Rattus norvegicus: one gene and its partner. The protein of the gene in region 2 interacts with the protein of the main gene of each other region in a pairwise test. Links are inferred from orthologs where the notes say so. Each region holds a gene or a part of one and is shown on either strand. Other genes may lie near its edges.

What was found. The genes of interacting proteins can lie anywhere in the genome.
Region 1: the proteins of Esr1 (region 2) and Tram1 interact in a two-hybrid assay, tested with the Homo sapiens proteins (2 studies listed by BioGRID). The link is inferred for Rattus norvegicus from reciprocal best matches to the Homo sapiens genes ESR1 and TRAM1.

Annotation. Positions count from the first base shown.
Region 1 is NC_086023.1:10,440,469-10,450,752, forward strand, and holds the end of Tram1 (translocating chain-associated membrane protein 1), read left to right. Parts: intron 1-3,139; coding exon 3,140-3,210; intron 3,211-3,306; coding exon 3,307-3,411; intron 3,412-4,748; coding exon 4,749-4,892; intron 4,893-5,167; coding exon 5,168-5,328; intron 5,329-8,653; coding exon 8,654-8,727; 3' UTR 8,728-10,201; downstream 10,202-10,284. UniProt on the Homo sapiens protein: Involved in the translocation of nascent protein chains into or through the endoplasmic reticulum (ER) membrane by facilitating the proper chain positioning at the SEC61 channel.
Region 2 is NC_086019.1:43,506,396-43,517,379, forward strand, and holds the start of Esr1 (estrogen receptor), read left to right. Parts: upstream 1-5,294; 5' UTR 5,295-5,748; intron 5,749-10,984.

The DNA.
Region 1 (10,284 bases), on a different chromosome or scaffold from region 2:
ATAAAGAGCAATGCTTTGCCAGTTGATCAGACAAATTAAGGTGAGGGCACTCGTTTTTTGGAATGTCTGAAAAATTATTAGGCCCACAATTTCCAGGAGCCCTTCCCTGTCTGGTGAGCTCCTCGTGTGAGACTTGGGTCTTCTGGGGCTGGGCTGTGCAAAACAGGAGCTGCCAGCCACAGGAGAGAAATGAAAGTAACACAGTTTTACTTCATAGTTACACTAGCCGTATTCAACGCCCCTTATCCCTGTGAGGCTCACAACTGTCCTTTTGTATAGAAGATACACACACACACACGCACACACACGCACACACACACACACACACACACATTTTTAAACATGGTTTTTCTGTGTGGCCCTAGTCTGGTTTGTAACTCATGATCTTCCTTCCTCAGTCTCTCCTGACTAAGGGGAAGTGATAGATGTGTGTGCCACTATTTGTGAATTGGACAGATTAGGGAACGTTGGTGTAATTGTGAAAAGCTTTGTTGGACAACAGTCTAGAGACTATCATAGTTTCTTGATGATTGGCTACTGGACAGGGCTCAACTACTATAAGCTCTCTTTAGGTGTCTGCATACCTGTGGGAATAATACCTTTGGATTTCATTATTGATCCAAGTCTATCTCTTGTGCACTGACCCTGGTGAGCAAAAAAGGGACTTTTCAAAGCAGTCGTTCCTTTAGCTCCTAGAGCTCTTTCTTATCGGTTGCTGCCAGATGGCACTTCTCCAGAAGTGTGGTCTCATTTTTATGGACTAATTTGCATAACTTAGAACTTAACTGAAACTATTTTTAACACTTACACGTGACAGTTGAAAGTAACTGTTTCAAGTAATTAGCATAATTTGAAAGTAACAGCTGCATATGTGTTAAACCGTTTCTTAAAATTTGCTCTATGAAATGTGTTTTGGAGAGAAATCTTTCCTGGAAGAAACTTAGTGCTGTGACTGCTTTGCAGCAGTCTCACAGCCAGAGGGGGGAGTAAGAAAGGACAGTGTGAACATTGGTGGGGGGCTCTCACAGGCAGAGGGGGAGTAAGGACAGTGTGAACATTGGGGGGACTCTCACAGGCAGAGGGGGCAGTAAGAAAGGACAGTGTGAACAGTGGAGTGGGGGGAGAGCTTAGTGCTCTGGATGGGAATGTTTAAGTCATGCGACTTCAGTGTGCCCACGTCTCCTTTAGCCCAGAAGATTGGCAGTGCCACTTCTTAGCCAGGCCCTATAGTGTGTAAGTAACCACAGTGCCAGGTACTGGGGAGGCTGAAGTAGGGTTGTGTGGGCAAAATAAGGTGGGACCCTGTCCTTAGCTAGTTTGAACTTGGAAGCAAATGTTTTGTTGCTGGTAATTAAATTAGCTTTGATTACAGATAATAGAATTGATTGTTATATCAAATGTTTATAAATGGTTTTCCCATCCCTGCTTATTGGCAGCCTCAGTCAGACACACCTCTCTAACCTCTGCTGCTCACCCCTCCAGCCTCCCTCTGGACTTCTAAAGCTTTCTCTGAGTTGGTGCCTGACCTGGATCAGAATCTTAAGGTGGCAGTGGTGCCTTTCACAAACATTTATTATTACTCAAAATCATCAGCAGATACCATCCCCGTAACACAAAGCTTTTTAAACCCGGTTTAATCTTTACATTTTGTAAGTCCACGTGTGATCACTTGTAATAAAGCTTGTGTTGTCAAGAAATGTTTTCTTATGAAAATAAAAATCTACAAGAGTTCTTTAATAAAAAGATCCCAGAAGAACAAATAGAAGTTTCGGAATTCATAGTTTAAACATACCAGTTTTTTTTTCTTTTTTGTTCTTTTTTTTTTTTTTTTGGTTCTTTTTTTCGGAGCTGGGGACCGAACCCAGGGCCTTGCGCTTCCTAACCAAGCGCTCTACCACTGAGCTAAATCCCCAGCCCCAAACATACCAGTTTTTAAAGATGTATTTACCTTATTTATATGAGTCCACTGTCGCTGTTCAGACACACCAGAAGAGGGCATCGGATCCCATTACAGATGGTTGTGAACAGCCGTGTGGTTGCTGGGAACTGAACTCAGGACCTCTGAAAAAGCAGTCAGTGCTCTTAACCTCTGAGCCATCTCTCCAGCCTGAGATTATCCAAATTTTATGTCAGTCCACAATTTCCTTCTTGCTATAGCTGTATGGACATCAGTGTTGAGAGTAAAATGGCCAAGCATGGAAGGACACATCCAGAATCACACCACAGAACTTTCTCTGAAACACTACTAAATGACTCACTGTTAGAAACATTTTGTGTGTTAATCATAAGCAAAATCTCACTGTGGCTTCTGGTAGAAAAGGCAATTCTCACAACAAATAAGACAACAGAAAAGAGCGTGCAGAGAACACGCACTCCTGCTTCTCCCGCTGTGTCTGGCTAGCCTCTAGTTTCCACAGCTGTGATGAGCCGTCTTCCCACAGGTGACCTACTCACAATTCACCACAGACTGCTCTCTGAGCTGCTCAGACAGCCAGTTCTACCCAGCTGCCTCGGTTCTCTCCTTTTCCCCACACCAGAGACCGGCACAGATTGAGTGTGGTTGTCAGCCCCGCACCTGTGAGCCCCAAGGGCCCCATGGCCGTGCTTCCAGGAAGACTGGAGAACAATGTGGGGCTTGCCCTGGTTCAGTGCCCTGAAGTAGTCATGTCCTCAACCAGCTGTTTCTACTTAGCCTTACTCGTAGCTGGGATTCGTGTTCTCCGGTGCCTCTCTGTTCTCGCTTCGATATTCCCTTGGTGGTATCTTGGGCTTCAGATGCAGAGTTGAGCTGACTTGTCCAAGACCACAGCCACGGGAAGCAGAACTTAGTTTTCCTATGTTCATCGTTGCTCTGTGGAACCCTGGAGTAGGCGAGCACTGCCGCGCAGACCCCTGTTTGTGCACAGTTGAGGGAAAGTCCCCCCTGAAAATTGTTGTCTGAAAGCTGTTGATGCTGCGTTAGCATCCCAGGGAGTTACTGCTTGTGGCCATGGATTTTGGTGATGGCTTTACCTGCCCCCATTACTGACTTGGTCGGTGACTAGCAGAAAGGTCGTTTGGATGTAAGAAATGCATTAAGGCTGATGCCATTAAAGCGGAAGTGCTGACCATGCTGTTCACCGGTGCTTTGTCTTTGCAGGAAGATATTCCTCGCCAGCTTGTCTACATCGGTCTTTACCTCTTCCACATTGCTGGGGCTTACCTTCTGAAGTGAGTTGGGGTTTGGCCATGGGTGTGGCTGGCAGGTAGCGCGCTAATTTGTCTGAGTTGGTAATTAGCCTTTCTTCTTTGTGTTTCTTTCAACAGCTTGAACCATCTGGGCCTTGTTCTTCTGGTGCTGCACTATTTCGTTGAATTTCTTTTCCACATTTCTCGTCTATTTTATTTTAGTGACGAGAAGTACCAGAAAGGGTAAGTGCTGTCCTCTCTTTGGGGATTTGCAGTCAGTGACTAAGTTGTTGTCATGCCTGTGTCCTTGAGAATTCTACAGTTGCGTTAGTAGTACATGAAAAGGAGGCAGAACCACACTTAATATTTGTACTGTGGACTGGAGAGATGACTCAGTGCAGAGGACCTGGGTTTAATTCCCAGCACCGACCTGGTGGCTCAGCCATCCGTAACCCCAGTTCCAGGGGATCCAATGTTCTCGTGTGGTCCCAGCAGGCACTATGCGTACACATGGTACACGGACAACACCCACATGTTCACATAAATGAGTAGATAAATAGTTTTAAAAACCAGTGTTCATAGTCTATACTCTATTCTTCCAAATAGTGTCTCTCAGCTGGAAGGACACTGTATTGGACCGAGTGTCTCTGAGGCTGCAGTATCACGGCTTTCTTTTGAGAAAAGGAGCAATAAAGAAGAAAACGTTCAGGAGAAAATAAAGGGACAGCCTGGTGCTACTCAAAGACCTAAGGTTGTCTCTAGAAGCACAGAAAGGTGTAAGGAGAGAACCAAATCCACACAGCTGCCCTCTGACCTCACATGGCATGCATGGGTCCTTTCCCCTGCAGCATGCACACCATAAAGGAAATTGTTTAAAAACGGAAAGAAAATAGAAAATGGCTGATATAGTCTTAAGGCTATGGAAAGACTTTGATAGAGACTCAGATGGGAAGGTAACTTGCAGCAGGTGACGTCTGTGGCCCTCTGAGAAGGGAGTTGGTAACGGTTGTTTATAGCAGCACTGGCTTGGCCCCGTGCTCAGCATGTTGCAGTCGCTCACTGTAACATAAGTTCTAAAGCACATTGTGAGTACTTCACAGTGAACAAAATACTCAATTAGTTCTGGAAAACCTGACTATGGTATCCAATGCTGTGAACCTCTGATAGGATGCCACATTGTGTAGTGTTTCCCAGGAATTTGAATACAGAAATCCTTTTGCAGAATAAGAAATGCTGTTTTTAGGGACTAGAAAGATGGTTCGGTGGGAAAATGCTTACAGTGCAAGCAATAGGACCCAAGTTCAGATCCCTAGCCCCATATAGAAAGCCAGGTATGGGGTAACAGTGAGATTATTCCAGGGCTGGGCGAACCAGGCTAGCAGTCAGTGAATTCTCTTTTCAGTGGCAGACCTTGTCTCAGTAAGGTGGGGATAACTGAGGAAGACGCCTCACTGATCAGTCTTCACAGGCTCAGCCACACACGTGCACGCCCAGAACACGCATTTGCTCAGGGGGATCTAAGTCCCTAAGAACCGTCTCTAAAACGGTTTTCTTCTGTGACTTTGCTTGTCTTCCTACAGGTTTTCTCTTTGGGCGGTTCTTTTTGTTTTGGGAAGACTTCTGACCCTAATTCTTTCAGTCCTCACTGTTGGCTTTGGCCTGGCAAGAGCAGAGAACCAGAAGCTGGACTTCAGTACTGGGAACTTCAATGTGTTGGCGGTTAGGTACAGTTCCTTTCCCCTCCCACTGTTGCTGGCCGTGCTGTCAGCCTCACCTGTCGCCTGTAATGAGTGAGGGGTACCTGGGGGCTGTTGTTGCTTTCTGTCCACATGGGACGTACTAAAGCCTTTGCTTAACCTCTAAGATGGATTTCTCAGTAAATTCCTTAGCATTAAGCATCAACAGAGTCTTCATCATTATCCAGATCATGGTAGAATACTTTATCCGTGGGTTTTCTGACATAGTCTAACTTCTGTGCTGTCCTCGGCCTGCCTTTCAGGATCGCGGTCCTAGCGTCCATTTGCATCACTCAAGCCTTCATGATGTGGAAGTTCATTAACTTCCAGCTTCGGAGGTGGAGGGAACATTCTGCCTTCCAGGCCCCTCCCGTGAAAAGGAAACCGGCTGTGACCAAAGGCAGGTCTTCCAGAAAAGGAACAGGTTGGTATTGACTTCAGTCGTGAGAGCACAGGTAGAAGCTATAGCTACGGGGCTTTTGCGTCCCAGAGCTCTGCTAGGTAGTTCTGCACACGGAACAGAGCAGCGTGCGGTCAGCCGTGACTGCTTCGTGGCACAGTGTTCCTCTGTGTGTGTTGGGAAGAGGCGTCTGTGCCGTCTGGAGGTCAGAGGCCCCTGGGAGGCCGTTCTTCCATCTCCCGTGGGCTCTGGGGATCGACTGACAAAGCAGCCAATCGCTCAGATTCCGTGTCAACCATAGCGTAATATTTTTACATTTTTGTAAATTACATTTTTATTTATGGAGGGCGAGTGTGCACAGGCCTAGGTGTGCATGTGGAGGGCAGTGGACAAGGCTGGGGGAGCAGCCCTTTTCAGCTTTCTGGGGCCTGGAGGCGGAGCTCAGGCCCGCCCGCCCACCCACCTGGCAGCCGCACCTTCTCCTGCTGAGCCGTCAGGCTACGTGTGTGAACATGCCATACTTTGGCTGGCTGGAGGACATTGGGGTTCTGTGAATTTTTTTTAGCAGTAAGGTGAGGTAAGCAACCCTTGTCTTTGTCTGCACACTCCTCCGTTGTCTCCTGGGTGAGCATCTGCTGAGGAGCTGCGGGTCATTAGGGCGAGCCAGACTGTTGCTGCATAGTGACACCATGTTAGGGAGCTGCACCTTCCCAGCTTCGTTCTCTCCGTGATGAAGTTTAGGATGAGACCCATCTGAGCTCTGGCCTCTGCCAGATGTGTTTAAGAGCCTGCCACTGTGCAAACAGTGCAGTGCTTTGCTGTGTTATGTGGGTAGACACCCCCTTGATGTGTCTGTGTGGTTGGGTAGCTCACTGCCTTGCTGTGGTGAGGGGTGGGTAGCTCACTGCCTTGCTGTGGTGGGGGGGGGGGGGGTAGCTCACTGCCTTGCTGTGGTGAGGGGTGGGTAGCTCACTATCTTGCTGTGGTGAGGGGTGGGTAGCTCACTGCCTTGCTGTGGTGATGGGTGGGTAGCTCACAGCCTGGCTGTTTTTACAGGCTCTGGAAGATTCTCCAGTTTTTTTCCTTTTCAGGTTTTGGTCATTTCAGGTGTCTAGCATTTCTGTGTGAGTTTTAGGACCCTCCCTTTAGTGTGTGCAAAAAGCACTTGGAGTTTTGCTTCAGAATCCTTTAATCTGTAAATTGCCTTGGGGAGCATGAACAGGGATGTCTTTCCATTTATTCCGCTCTTTAATTTCTTCCAATTAAATTTTATAGTTATCAACCTAAATGTCTAGAACTTTGATTAAATTTCTCCCTAAATATTTTACTCTTTTGGATGCTATAAAATAGAATCATCTCCTTAATTTCATTTTCCGATTGTACAGTGCAAAGTATACAAGTGCAGTCGATTCTGCAAATCGATCTGGTCTCCTGCAGTCTTTGATGGACTTGGGTTAAGTGGTTTAGTGAATGTGAGTTCTTTTGGATCATCTATCAGTGAAAATAGTTTATGCAGTTCCTGCCAATCCAGAATCTTCATGTTGTGTTGTCCTGAGTTGAGAACAGGATTGGCATGGTGCAGGTGTAGAGACCCACAAGAACGCTGCTGTCTTGCTCTCTGCCTCTCTCCCTTCAGACAGGGCCTCTTACTGAATCTGGACTGAGGATGGCAGCCAGTAGACCCAACAGTCCTCCTGTCCCCACTGTGGGACACAAGGAGTTACAGGTCCTTGTGTTCACAGCAGTCCACGTGGGTGGGGACATTTGCAGTCCTTCCTCAAGTTGATGCTGCAAGGACTGTCCCCAGCCCCCTCTCCTCTTTCCTTCCTGGCATACACCCATGTTAGGGACAGATGATACTGTACCTTTGCTCTGTTGGTTTTGATTGTTTGGTAGGATTTTTTCCATCTGTTCCTATAAAAGAGTGTCCTATAATTAGCACGTTTCCCCCTTGTCAGTTCTGCTAGCTTTATAGACAGCATTAAATCTGTCCGTCCCTTGGTCAGTCTGGTGCTGTTAGCTGTTGGGAGATTTAACAGTGACTCCATCTTTGCAGGTTTACACTCCAGATAAGGAACTAAGTCTCTGTTTAACCTCTCCCTTCCAGCAACTTGTGATTTTTTTTTTCAAGAATTTATGCCTGTTTTTCTTCTTAGTCAAAACCCCAGCATGTTAAGAGCTAAGATGTAGCTCAAGGTAGGGCACCCACCTAGAATCTGTGAATTCCAGGGTATAAGATCCACCACTGAGGGCTGGAGCGATGGCTCAGCGGTTAAGAGCACTGACTGCTCTCTAGAGATCCAGAGTTCAATTCCCAGCAACCACATGGTGGCTCCCAACCATCTGTAATGGGATCTGACACCCTCTTCTGGTGTGTCTGAAGACAGCAGCTACAGTGTACTTACTCATATACATAAAATAAATAATTCTTTAAAAAAAATTTCTAGTGCTGAAACAACGCAAAAGTACTTTTAAGTCTTTCTTGATTATTTTTTCTTTACATGTTTGTCTGTCTTTACTATGTCAGTTCCTACTCACGCTTCCAGCTCTAAGTTTGGTTGGCTCTTTTGCTGTTGGGGGTCCCCTTCTTGACTTCTGGTCATGGTCTTCACTGCTCCTTGAGAATCATCCAGAGTTGAGGGAAAACCATCTCCTCATCCTGTGTTGGCTACACTCCTCAAGCCTTGAGCGCTGTTTGGCTCCAAACACTTCCTAGTTGTTAATTTGGTTTCTCATTGGAGCCATAACTTTCCTGCTTGTCCTCTTTCTGGTGTCTAAATTGCACTGTGATTTAAGACTACCCTTCAAAGGATTTTCCTTCCTAAAATTTGCTGAGACTTGGATTACAGCTCAGCCTGTACCCAAGTTCAATAAATGCTTCTGTGTGCCCCACAGGTCACATATTCTATATATGGATGTGAACCCACATGCTCTGCCTCCCGCATGCCAGGATTGAAGTGTGTGCTACCACAGCGGGCTCACTGTCAGTTCACCCTCAGCTGTAAATGCTTCCATCCCTAATAACGTTTCTGTTTTATAAAGAAATAACCCAAATGGCTTTGCCATGCAGTGGGAGAGAGCCCCATGTCCTGTGGGGACTGCTGTGGAGGAGTATGTTTGTGAACATTGTGAGTTCACCAGTCCCCTGCCCCGCCCCTTCACTCGATTTAATGGCACTCACCTCCCTTTAACTTCCTGCTCCCAAGCCCTCCTTCACATTAGAGATCACAGATTTTCCCTGAGACTTTGGGACTTCACCCCGTCCCTGCAGAGACGTTGTGACTGACAGTTACTGCTCTCATTAGCTTATGATGCCAAGAACAACGCCCGCTGTCATGTCTCGTTTCAGAGAATGGTGTGAACGGCACGGTCACGTCGAATGGAGCCGACTCTCCTCGGAGCAGGAAAGAGAAGTCTTCCTAATGGGCCGGAAACTGACTGACTGATGTCCCCCAAAGAATCTGCTTTCTACTCTGTCCTTCAGCACTAGCGACTCTTCTGTTCTTGAAAATACAGTTTGCTCTTTGATTTTGCTGTTGCACTGTTCCTGCATTGTGAGGGGCGTCTGAGGGGAGGGTGATTGATTACTCTGAGGTGATTGATTACTCTGACTGAGAAATACTTTAGCTTAGACTCAGCTACCTGCCTTCAAATAGTTTAGGGACCACCTTTTTGTTTTTTTGTTTTTCCTTTTTGTCTTTAATGTTTTTCCCTAATGGTTTAGGGAGAAACCATTTACAAACACCCCCCCACACACACACATAACCAGTGAACATTTTTCTTGCTCTCACCAATTTTTTACAATATTATAGCAAGGTGACCTGTTCTAGGAAGGTCGTATTTTTTAAGTTGTCTTTCAGGGTGAAATGGAAATACTATAAAGTCAGATGTCAAACTTTTAATGTTTTCAGTGTTCTCTAATTTTTAGGAGTTTTTTGTAGCCTTTACACCTGAAAAAAAAAAAAAAAGATTTGTAAAATCACCCAAATAATTGTGTGCTTTATTTTCTAAGTCGTGGTTGTACATGCTACATCCCATTAAAATGTCCTGATAGCCGCTGCAAGGTCTGTTGTCATCTACTGGAGCAGATGTCTCGTTAGCATAAGGAAGTGAAGTACTTAGGAAGTAAAGTCTGTGCATTTCAACATTTATCGTCTGGCAGTCAGACAGTGTTTCCTGTGAGGAGGAATAGTCAACTCGTGTAGCCCTTTTGATATGTTTAGTACCTAACCGGGCTGCTTGTAAATTTGATGCACATAGCATCTTAATGAGATAGCAGTTAACCTGCAAGCCCTTTAAAGAAGTAATGCCTGTTTGATTTACATCTGTAGAAAACAGGTCAGGTAATTATATTTGGGAAACTAATGCACTAACTTTAAAGAAATTGAAAATTCAGGTGGATAGTCTTAACAGAAGACATGCTTTATGTTATAGCTTTGGACCCATCTTTAATTGAGAAATGTTTATCTGTATAAAACATATTTTTGGATAAATATATATATATATATATTTGTATCTACAGAAAGGCTCTAAACGCATTTGAGTAAAATCCTGGTTCCCTTTTCTACGCCTGTCCTCGCACCCTGCGCTTGTTCTGTCTGCTGTTGTCACAGCACATGCAGTGCTCCATCCGTCCCTGTTTCTCACTCTGTCACCAGCTAAACAATGTCCGTGCCATGTTGAGTATATTCGCTACAAGCCTCAGCCTGTGGGTAGGTTGCCATGCTGCTGGAAAGCTGTTCTTTCTCTTCTCTAGGTGTTTACCTTCTTCCTGGGAAAAGTAGTCGCTCTCGGTAGCAGTACCAAGTTTCAGTGGAACCAAATTTCTGCCCTTAAAACTGGCATTATATTGAACGATACATTGAGAAATCAGTCGAATAAAAAATTTTTACTTTCACATGGCTGCTTCCTGGACAGTTCCTTCACTGTAATGTTTATGCTGTTTTGAACATATACTCTCATTAAAGTGTACTATTAAAA
Region 2 (10,984 bases):
GACCTTTTCTCCCCCAGAGGCTGTCCACTATCCCACAGCTCCTCCATTAGAGGTGGAAACCATGTGAATCCCTTCCCATCCCATGCTACGGTGTTAGCTGGCTTGATCTTGTGTAGGCAGCCCCAGAGCTCAGGGACGCAGTTGTTCTGTTAGGCTTATAAGAGGGTGCGTTTTAGTTCTGGTCTCCCTTGACTTCTGGCTCTTACAATCTTTCTGTTCCAGTCTTCTCTGAGGGCTTGGGGGAGATTGTTGTTCTAGCTATTCCGTTTGTGGCTGAGCACTCCAAAGATGCTCGCTCTCTGCCCTTGGATCAGTTGTGGGTTTCCGTGATAACTGCCGTTCTCTGGACAAAGAGATTTCTCTGATGAAGACTGAGAGCTGCACTACTCCATAGAGAGACACTAATTTATTTAGAAGGCACCTTGTTACCAGGTCCACTAAGTATCATACTATTAGTAAGTTCAGCCGTGGGGCTCATGAACTCCCCAGCCTTGGGTTCTTGGCCAGACTTACAGCAACAAGCATGAGTTTCCTTCACCCTTCTCTGACTTGTAGTTTGACCTTGCCTTCCACAGAAAAGTCTGTGAAGTCTGTGTTTGTGTATCTGGAAACTGGAAAGGGTGGGGTTTAGAGAGAGGGTTTGGGAAGGTCAGTGGATGTCTTAAGAAAACTTTGCATTTATTTATTTAATGTGCACATATGTTTGCATGTGTGGAAGTCAGAGGACAGTTTGCTGGAATTTGTTCTCTTCTTCATCATGTGGGATCTGGAGTTTGTACCCAGGTCATCAGGCATGGGAGCAAACATCTTTACCCACTGAGCCATCTCACTGGGCCCCTAGAGCGATTTTTGAGTAGAGTGTACACTGTTTTTACTGTAAATCACCACATATGTGATTCTACAAACATGAAAGCCCACGAATCTTAACAGAAAACTTTGCATAATAATTTCCTGGTAGGGGTTTTTGTTGGTTGCTTGATTCATACTTTTCCTGTGTGGTGAAGTCTTTCTACTAATGGCTTAATGTTGACTTGAATCAGATCATTTCTAAAGTATTTACAAGCTATTTTCTGAAAGAAGACAGCTCCCACCCCATTTCTGCCCATTGAGGACGTCTTTACCCTTAGAAGCTTCAGTTAGAGCTTTAATGTTGAGGGAAGGGAGTAGCCTCCTTGGATGTTGGCCACACCATCGTGATGTTGCCAACCCCATCCCATCCCTGTACACTGCAAATACAACTGCTGGGTTTTGTGTCTCCTATGACAGCACGTGAAGTACAGAAGAAGATGTCCTCAGCCTCCTAATGATAAGTTACCGCAGAACGTCAGATCTATGTGAGTGTGAGATCTATGTGAGTGTGGCAAATGGAGTGAGGTAGTTGTGGGTCCAGGGTCCAATGCCCGCTAATCTCTGCTGACTGATTTTTCTCTGCCCATTGATAACTTCACTTAACTAGGAGTCTTTGCTTCCTGTGTCTTCTACTGTACTACCCCAAGATGTCCTTGCAGAGGCCCACTACCCTGTCGAAGCTTAAAAATTCATATTCCTGAGAGCCCCCTGTAGTTGGCTATTATGTTCATTAATTTTCTTGTTGCCATGATAGAATACATGAGATAAAAATTTCATGTAGAAAAGACTTATGTTGGTTTATGGTTTGAATGGTTCCAGTCCATCAAGAGGACAAGGTTTGGTGGAGTTCACTGCCACAGGACCAAGAGGCTAGAATTCCTCACACACTGGAGTTCGAGAAGCAGGCCAGAATTACGACTTAGCTATAACCAACAGGCTTAGATTCCAGCTGCCTGCATTCCCTAATCACATCCCACTTTTAAGAGGTTTACAATCTCCCTAAAGAGAGCCACTGGCTGAGAACTACACATGGGAGAATATTTCACATTCAAACCGCAGTACTAACAATCAATTCTGATGTCTTAGATCCAGTGCAAGATCACTGGTCAAGCAGATGCCTAATAGTTACTCAATTAACAATTAGAGGCAGGAGATAGGAAGATACCAGGCAACAGGAGCTATGGACTGGACAATTTCTTTACCGAAGTGGCTGGGTAAGTGGTCAGGGACTGTTTGCTATCTCCAGGTAGGAGATCTCAATTTGAGTTTCTCTTTATAAGGAGAACCAGAAATTCATGGCTACTTTCTCCAGTGTGGTGGAATTGAGAGAGCCTTTGAGCCGTGCTCAGTGGAAGCATGGTTAATAAAGACAAATGGAGAATTGGGGCAATTACCTATATATTTGAGTCTCAAGATCTGCTATCATCTGGGGTTTTGTACAAAAACACACACTCCAAATAAAAAAAATATTTTAGCCTGAATCACCCGTATCATAGCAAGATTTTACTTGAATGACCCAGACAGACTACATCAATTTTCTGCTTTCCTTTGCTGTGGAAACTGGGCTGTTAGTGGTTACTTTGGAAATAAAAGAATGTATCAAAGAAAAAAACCCAAAAAACAAAATACAAAAACCAAGGTTGTAACCTAGAAAAACTTCTAGAATTCCATCGTTTGGTGTTTCTTAATAAAGTGAATCACATGAAGAGGGGTCGCATAGGCTGGGCCTCTCTTATTATTGATAAGGATGTAGCAGATGGCATGCTCTTGATGAAAGGTTATTTTACATGTGGAAGTACACATGTGCGGAAATGAGGGAGACACCCCGCTTCACTTGGAATGGTCCTGAAGATTTGATTGGTTCTGTATTTGTTTCAATTGTACCACCGTCCACTTCTTCAGTTAAATTGTCCTCTGTTATTCATCATTCAGTTAGTCTAATACTGTTAAATACAGTCTAATTAGACGTTTTTCCATCAAAGGAGAGTTTTGCCCCATGAAAAAGCACAGAATATTTTAAAACAATGTTTTTTTGGTCTTGGCAAACATCTACCTACCTACCTACCTACCTACCTACCTACCTACCTACCTATCAGTCTCTCTCTCTCTCTCTCTCTCTCTCTCTCTCTCTCTCTCTCTCTCTCTCTCTCTCTCATCTGTAGTGAACTCATGCGAAAGCTAAACTGCGGAACGACTCCAGTACAACACACACCTCCATGTTTGTTGCCTGGGTGCGGTTCTGTGTGTCCTCAGAAGTTGCAGCAGAGGTCTATGGCATGGAGGCTTGACTTGGATCCCTGAGTTTGAATACCGGCTCTAGCCAGTGTATGTAATCTCAGCATCCCATAGCTTCCTTGCCAGTCAGTAGCACCTGGCTTCGTGTTCGTGGGTTGTAAAGTGCTTCGAGCACCTGTCCTGACACCATAGACACCTGCATTCATCTGGAAGACATTTTCTGGTGTTTTCATTCTTTCCCACTTAAGAAAGCATAGTATAGAATGCAAAGGGGGGCATTATAACTGTCCCTTAGGGACACACTGTCTCAGATACATTTTTATATTACACATGTGTATTTGCAAAGAAAAGGGCATAGAGACAGGGGAGAAGGCTCAGTGGATAAGACTGCTTGTTCTGAAGGCATGAGGTCTTGAGTTTGAAACTCTGGCATTGTGTAAAGATGCGGGGCATGGCTATGTGTGGCTGCAATGCCGGCCAACCTACACATTCCATTTCTCTCTGTCTCTGTCTCTGTCTCTGTCTCTCTCTGTCTCTCTGTCTCTCTCTCTCTCTTTCTCTCTCTCTCTGTGTGTGTGTGTGTGTGTGTGTGTGCACGCGTACTCGCATGTGATAGGTGGATCCCAAGAGCTCACTGGCCGAGTAGCCCAGCCAGCTTCCCATTCCCTGTCTCAAGGAAACGCTGTGGAGAGCAACAGAGAAGCACACCAGTGTCTTGCTTTGGCCTCTGCATCATGGACAGAGGTGTGTGCTTCCCTGTGTCTGTCCACTTATTCATATGCATCCCCTCCACAACAAAGCAATACTCGACACTTGCTTCTGAGTCTGATGGATGTTCTATTTAGAGAACTCCTGCCTTAGGTAATTTTCTTCTCTGGATTGATGTGTACAACTGATTCTAACAGGTAGCTAAATGCTATTTGAAAGCATGATTCATCCAACCTGGCAAATCAAATAACAGAGGGATTCAATTAATTTAGAGGGAAAAAAACCACTTGGCTTTTAAAATGTTTGAACTATTCAAAACATTTTGTTGACTCACTTACCTCTCACAGGAAATCATAATAAAAACAATAAAGCCAGGGCCATCTTTGCCATGCTGAGGCTATAAGATTATTCCTTCTATAAATGAGTCTTATTAAGTTTAATGTTCTTTAATTTGAAATAAAACATTTCAGACAAGAAGTAAAACGCATCCCACTCTGTGAGGTCTGGGGGAATTAAATTCAGACACATTTGTGTATTTGAATTATTTTGAGGCCAAACTCACTAGGGTATAGAAAACCGAAGACAACTACGACAATTTATTATAATGAATGTGTAGATCATCAGTCATGAGACATTTGGAGTCTTTTCTTTTCCCAGCCAGTTCTGAGATGCTTTTCTTACCCAGCATGCACCAGTGTTCATGCATAGGGATTGAGACAGTGACCAGAGGGGTCTCTTCTGGTCTTTTGCCTGCTACCATTCTTATTTCCAGAAAAGCATTCTTTCTCAGACTTATAGAATAGGAGAAAAAAACCACAACAAGACATTAAAACAACAACCCAGCATTTAAAGCACATGTTACATAAAACACAACAGATTTTATGAGCTATTAAAATTTCAAAAGGTCTAAAAATATTAAGGGTCTGTGGATCAGAGGTAATGTGTTTGGTTAGCACATCAAAGTTTTGGGCCTATCCCTAGTACCAAAAAGGAAAATAAATTTAATATATTTTTAATCTCAGATTATTACTTCAGAGAATTTGTCTCTGAGTTTAAAAAAAAAAGAAAAGAGAAACAAACAAAATAAGTTTTTAAAAAGTCAGTCATATTGGCTAATGCCTGTAATTTTAGCATTTAGGGATCCTGAGAGTTTAAGGCTCTGAACTGCAGAGTGAGACCTTGTCTCAACAAAACAAAACAGAACAAAACAAAACAAAATGCAAGATTAAATCCCCAAAGCAAACAGGACTTGTAAATCACATCAGGAAATGTCAAGCAGTTTATAGAAGGCTCATACACCTGAAGGATTTCAGAGTTAGCTCGGGCTAAGCTGGTGCAAGTTTCCAAAATCAGGAACACCATTAATCAGTGACAAGAATTGCTGAGCGACTGGCTTAGCTCTTTGAGTCAATGAGTGAAAGAGAAACTCTGAGAAGCGCTCACCTTAGAAACACCCTTATTACCCTTAGCTAATTTTGGGTGAGGAAAATTTGTGTGCAGAAAGAACGCTTTCTTATTTTATTTTTCCAAGTCAACATGCTCGTCTAGACTTTGAGCTTTATTGCAAGGAAAGAGAAAATGGGTTGGATCACCTTTAAAAAAAAAAAAAAGTCTCAGCTAGCTTCACCAGAAGCTTGTCCCTCTGCAAACATCTATCTGTAGGCAAACGCTGAGAAAGTTGGAATCAGGCCTGGCTGGAGAGAGGAAAGCCACCCCCTCCCCTATTATCCGGAGCAGAGTTTCCAATCCCAGTCAAGTGGTGGTGCTAGCTCTTTGCTTCCGAGTCTGCATTTCCTAATTTCATGGTCATAACAGCCTCCGAACGGATTCTACCAAAACCGAAAACACAAGGCTCCATGCTCAGCAGCCCTGTGACGCCAGGAGAGGCCAATGCCCCCTCCTCTGCCATTGTCTAGCCTAAGAAGGCAGTCTCTGGGCGACATTCTTCTAAAGCAGGTACTTCTATTTATCTCCATTTCTTTACAATTTCCCCCCCTTTCGGCTATAATGTGCTACTGTGTGCAATCAGGATGGAGTCTCAGAGTTCACTTCTGTGAAAATATGCCCATTTTTCTCTCGCTCATTGCTCCAGGGATATTTTATAAAGTTTCTGGCAACCGTTATCATGTTAAACCTGACCTTGGTCCCATGGAAATTCACTCTGGGAGCTACATTCAGCTGAGTCAGACACAGTTATCTGTTCGTAGTGCAGCACTGACAGGCTCTCTCTGCCTGCCTCAGATCGCGTGTATTTATTGGTCCCAGGTCGAGCTATGGGGGATTCTGTATGGTTGAAACGTGCGCGAGTTTAAAAAAGTTCCTGCTCAGACTTCCCTCTGTACTCGTCTCAACATGACCTCGTTTCTTAATCTTCGGTGCCGTGAGCTTATGTGAGCTTGATCTAAGCGACTGCAAAAAGCCATCATCTGTTTTCCTGAATAGGCAAACGAGTTTTCTGAAAAGCTACGCAATCTAGTAATGCATCTTGTCTTGAAGTTGCCCTACAATTGTAGGCAAGTTCTGAGCCCTGTGGGTTTGGGTTTGGTTCTCTCTAACCTGAAAATAACCATGGGAAACTGCTTTTTTTTTTTTTTTTTTTTTTTTTGAGGCAAGGTGGTATGCGGGTTAAGGACGGTGCCACAGAGCGAGTGCCACTTGTCGGTGACGTGGTAGTTACAAAAGGCAGAAAAGGATACTTTCATTTTGGCCACAGGAAAGCCACCCGTTTCCTGTAGTGGAAAGTCTCATGCTTGACCAAGAAGTTGCCAGTGTTTGTTCTCTCTGACTTGCCCAAAAAAGTCTAGCTGGTTAAAATTTATTTTAATTTTTTTAAACCTAATGTAAGGGTTGGGTTTTATTAAGATGATGTTCAATCGTGACATGCGGTACCACTCAAGGGTGCCAGATGTTTTAAAATTAGCTTCTTGGGCCAAATCTAATAGATTTACAGAGCACCTCCACCCACAAGGTTTATGGGAAATGTATTTGGTTTTGAATTTGAAACAATAATGTATGCAGAGAGGACGGATGTTGGAGTACCAATTTAAAGTATTTGAACTTTTTTTTTTTTTAACAAAGTCAGTAGGGTGGGAACCTCTGTCATCTCAGGGATCAGAAACCTATTTATATTCATTAAAATTCTTTCCTGTTTCTCAAAAAAAAAAAGGCGGCAAATGTTTGCCCACATTTTGTCAATAGCCCCTGAAGGCCCATTCTAGGCCCTGTACAGCTGTAATGCTATAGAGGTTGGATCCAGTCTTGTAGCGACTGGTGGATTTTTGTCATAGAAATTAGAAGTAACACTGACATAGAGATGAGAGACAAGGCAACCAGGAAAATTGGCAAAATATTGAGTGTGAATGCCAGGGTTATATTCATGAGTGGGAGGTGCTGTTTTGACACGTGAAGGTTGTTGTTCAGTTTGGTTGCCCACGACAGTAAAGGAAGAGAATAAGACAACTTGCTTTCCTTCAGCCTTTCACTCAGTTTAGGACTTAGAACCACTTGCTTCTCGTCGTCCTCAGACATACAAACTCCTAAGCCCGTAGACATCCCACCAGATGCCTGCTGTGTGTGCTAACACAGGTGGTTATCTCTGCCTGTCTCTGTACTTTTGGTCCACTTGGTCAGAATGTGTGCTTGAGATGAGGCCACAGTTGAGCTGAAGTTTGTTCCATGGGTACAGGGAGGCTGTAGAGAAAAACAGACAAGAGAGACCACCATGCCTCTGTTCTGCTAAAACATGTAGGAGGTGTGATCCTGTCCATCCACCTCTGCCTGGGTTGACTGGCTGTTGTTTACTGAGAAAGTGATACCACCTATGAGGTTCCTGCAAAGAGCCTAACAAAGTGTGTGTGTGTGTGTGTGTGTGTGTGTGTGTGTGTGTGTGCATGAGGTATATGTGTGTAGGGGCATGTGTGTTCCACAGTGAACATGTGGAGGTCAGAGGACATTTTGTGGAGTCACTTCTCTGCCATCTTCTCATGGGCTCTGGGGATTGAACTCAGGACACCAGGCTTGCTCAGCAAGTACTTTACCCCTGAGCCATCTCACTGAACCCCCTGATGCTCTTTTTAAAGGTAAGCACTTTACAGGTAACTTTTGCTAAAGATAGTTATGATAGCTGTGATTTCTGTCTCTCTAGCAACATTTCAATAGTCTTCTTCTACATCAGCCTAGGTTAGCCTAGTTAGGGTTCTGGTTAGCAAAACTTCATGCATGACTTTCTAGGGTGTGTGTGTGTGTGTGTGTGTGTGTGTGTGTGTGTGTGTGTGTAGACAGCCTCCAGCCGTGTGATGAAGCTTGCATGTGAGCTGCGGGTGGTGATGGGATGTTAGACAAAGTGTCATGTCTTCCTTGCGGTGTCAACCTCCTTGTGAGATGTTCTGTGGTGTGAGATGCGTGCGATGTAGGAGAAGCACTTTCTTTCCTGGTGCAAAAAAAAAAAAAAATCAAGAGTCTTGTTGGTGACACAGCCGCCACTCCATTATCTCAACTACAGTTTTCAGGAGTGTAATCTGGCTTACCCTCTCACACTCACCAGTTCTCAACCCTTTGGGGGAGGGGTCTCCCTGTGGAGAGTGGATGTGGATATGGCACTGCTGTCGTGAAGAGGATCACAGGACCTTCTTGCTACTGCTCATCACAAGGAGATGGGTGGGTGGGAAGGAGAGGACAATCATAGGGGAAGCCTCAAGTTGTCCAAGGATTGTCAATATGCGAAGTGGTTGGTGGCCCTGGTAACTGTCCTTCTCTGGAGTGGTGGCATTCCAGTTTTTTGTTTTGTTTTGTTTTGTTTTAAGATTTCTTATTCCTTGGTTCTTGTCAAAGCATTTGGCATTTGCTTAGGTGGCCATCAGCTGAACTCTCTAAATGGATCTCCTTCCCCACTTCCTTCAGAAGAGCCTCCCTGGTCCTTCTGCATTGGGGGCCTACAGGCTTGAGACCCTTTCTATCTCTGCTTCTCACTGGGAGAGTTCCTTTGATGATTGTGATAAGGAAATCCACAAGGGATTTTAAGTTTCTCTGCAAGATGGCATTCATCCTTTGACCTCTGAGCTTTATTTGCTACAATCAGTCATTCATTAGGACTTGCTTTATTATCAAACCTTACAAAGAAAGGGAACTTAGTAAAGCTGGTCACGTTGTGTAGTCCGTAATCCATTTCTGCATCTTTGTGTATAAAGCTATGCAACACTCGCACATCCTTTTCCAATAAGAGACACTGGGAATCCCATTTGCAAGAACTCTTGCTACTGGATATTTTGGCATCCAATTTATTCAGAAAAGAATGTAGTTCTGTTTGGCTTACTTACTAAATTCTTAATTTTGTCCAGGAATGAGAACATTGCAAAGCCCAACTGTGGCCCATTAAGGTCTGTTCTAAAGGGTCTGCTGCAGACCCTATTGGAAGTGCCCTAGGTGCCCACAGTGGGTTTTTGCTTAGGGTTGCATTGTGGTATGAAGAGGCTGGTACTCATCCACATTAAATATGCAACAGATGCCTTTGATTGAACACGATGCAGTCTTGGTGCTCTAGATGACTTTTATTATCAGAAGTGGAGAGTTGGGCACATAGTATGATGTGTCATCAATACAGAATAACCATGACATATGCTAATTTAGTAGAAAGCAATGTGTACTTCATAGAGATGAGAGCCATGGTACGGACACACAGGAAAGTCACTGCTGATTGGCATGGGGGACTTTGGGACAGGAAATGACACTTGGCCTTGACCCAAGAAGGATGGGTATGCTGCCCTGGGAAGATGTTAGGGGGTAAAAGATGCTATTCCAAGGTAAGGGACAATCACCTTGGGGGATCAGGAGTTGATCTGATAGGAAGATAAGTAGGAAGTATGCAGGGAGGTATTAGCAGTGAATTAGGACCGTGAAGTTAAATGTCATTTTAAGGACCTTGGACTTCATATTGGAGGCATTAAAGATTTTGGTGTGAGGTTGCAATGAAATGAGGTTTCCTTCTCTTTGGAAATAGATTAAGGTTTTTAGTTGAAGAGTTAGCACATCAATTTGGAGATGATTGGACTAGCTTAGGAGAGGTGAATTGCTAATTTAAAAGGAACAACTTAAATTGGGCAATTTAGCAAATCTTTTAAGACCCACTTTCTGAATTATGATTATTTATGGGGGCTAAAGACTTAGTCTCAAAAATGGCCAGTAGAGAGAGGCATGGGATGGGAGTCAAAAGATATTACTGTAAAGCGAGCCAGGTGGTGCAAGCCTTCAATCCCAGCTACTCAGGAAGCTGAGGCAGGAGATTCACTATTGGAAGGTCTACAGGGGTTATATGGTGAGATCAATACCAGCTTTGAAACTTGAAACTAATCCCCTTCTCGAAAGAGTCAGTTAGGAAAGGGTGAGGGATGTGACTCAGTATTAGAGAGCTTACTTAGAATATGCAAGATCCTGTGTTTATTTTCCAGCAATGAACAGACAGAAGACAGACAGACAGACAGACAGGCGTATGCTGAGTATTTTGCTATTTTTATAATTCAAAGATGGGTCTAGCAAGTAGCTGCCAAATGGCTGCTAGAAGGTTCCATTCAGGGATCACTAGGGACTAAACAGCACACTTTATATGCAAAATGCTTTTCTCCCTGGGGTATTTTTATAGCAAAATAATCTTATTTGGATAGAATATAGATTCATAAGAAAACAGCTCCTATTTGTATGACATGGAAACTGCTGAAATTATTGGTAATTTATACATACTTGTCAACCATGTACTCCAACATGCACTTTACACTGTGTACTCAAGCAGCCCTTTGACTTTGGAGGCCCAATTCCCTAGCAAGTAAGTGAAGGCATGGCACACCGGGTATGACCCCAACGTTGGTAGCAAATCCTGCTTCTGTACCTCCTGTCTTCAGCAACCTCCGTTTGGAATAGTGAGTCAAGACATTAGCATATGCACAATTAAGCCCATAGGTGCCAGTCTGGGAGTACAAGATGACTGATGTCATTGGAGGCTCTCTTAGGGAAGTCACTGAGTCCAGTGACTGGAGGTCCAAAGAAAAGGGGTGGAAGGAGGGTGTGCTTTTTCCCTTTCTCTTTTATCTTGTCCTTTAAAGGAGTAAGGTATGGTAAAATGTTACGGTGACAGCTGTAGAAGAAAATGCTTGTCTACTGGGGACAGGGATTGCACAGTCAGTAATCTCACTTCAGTTACAAT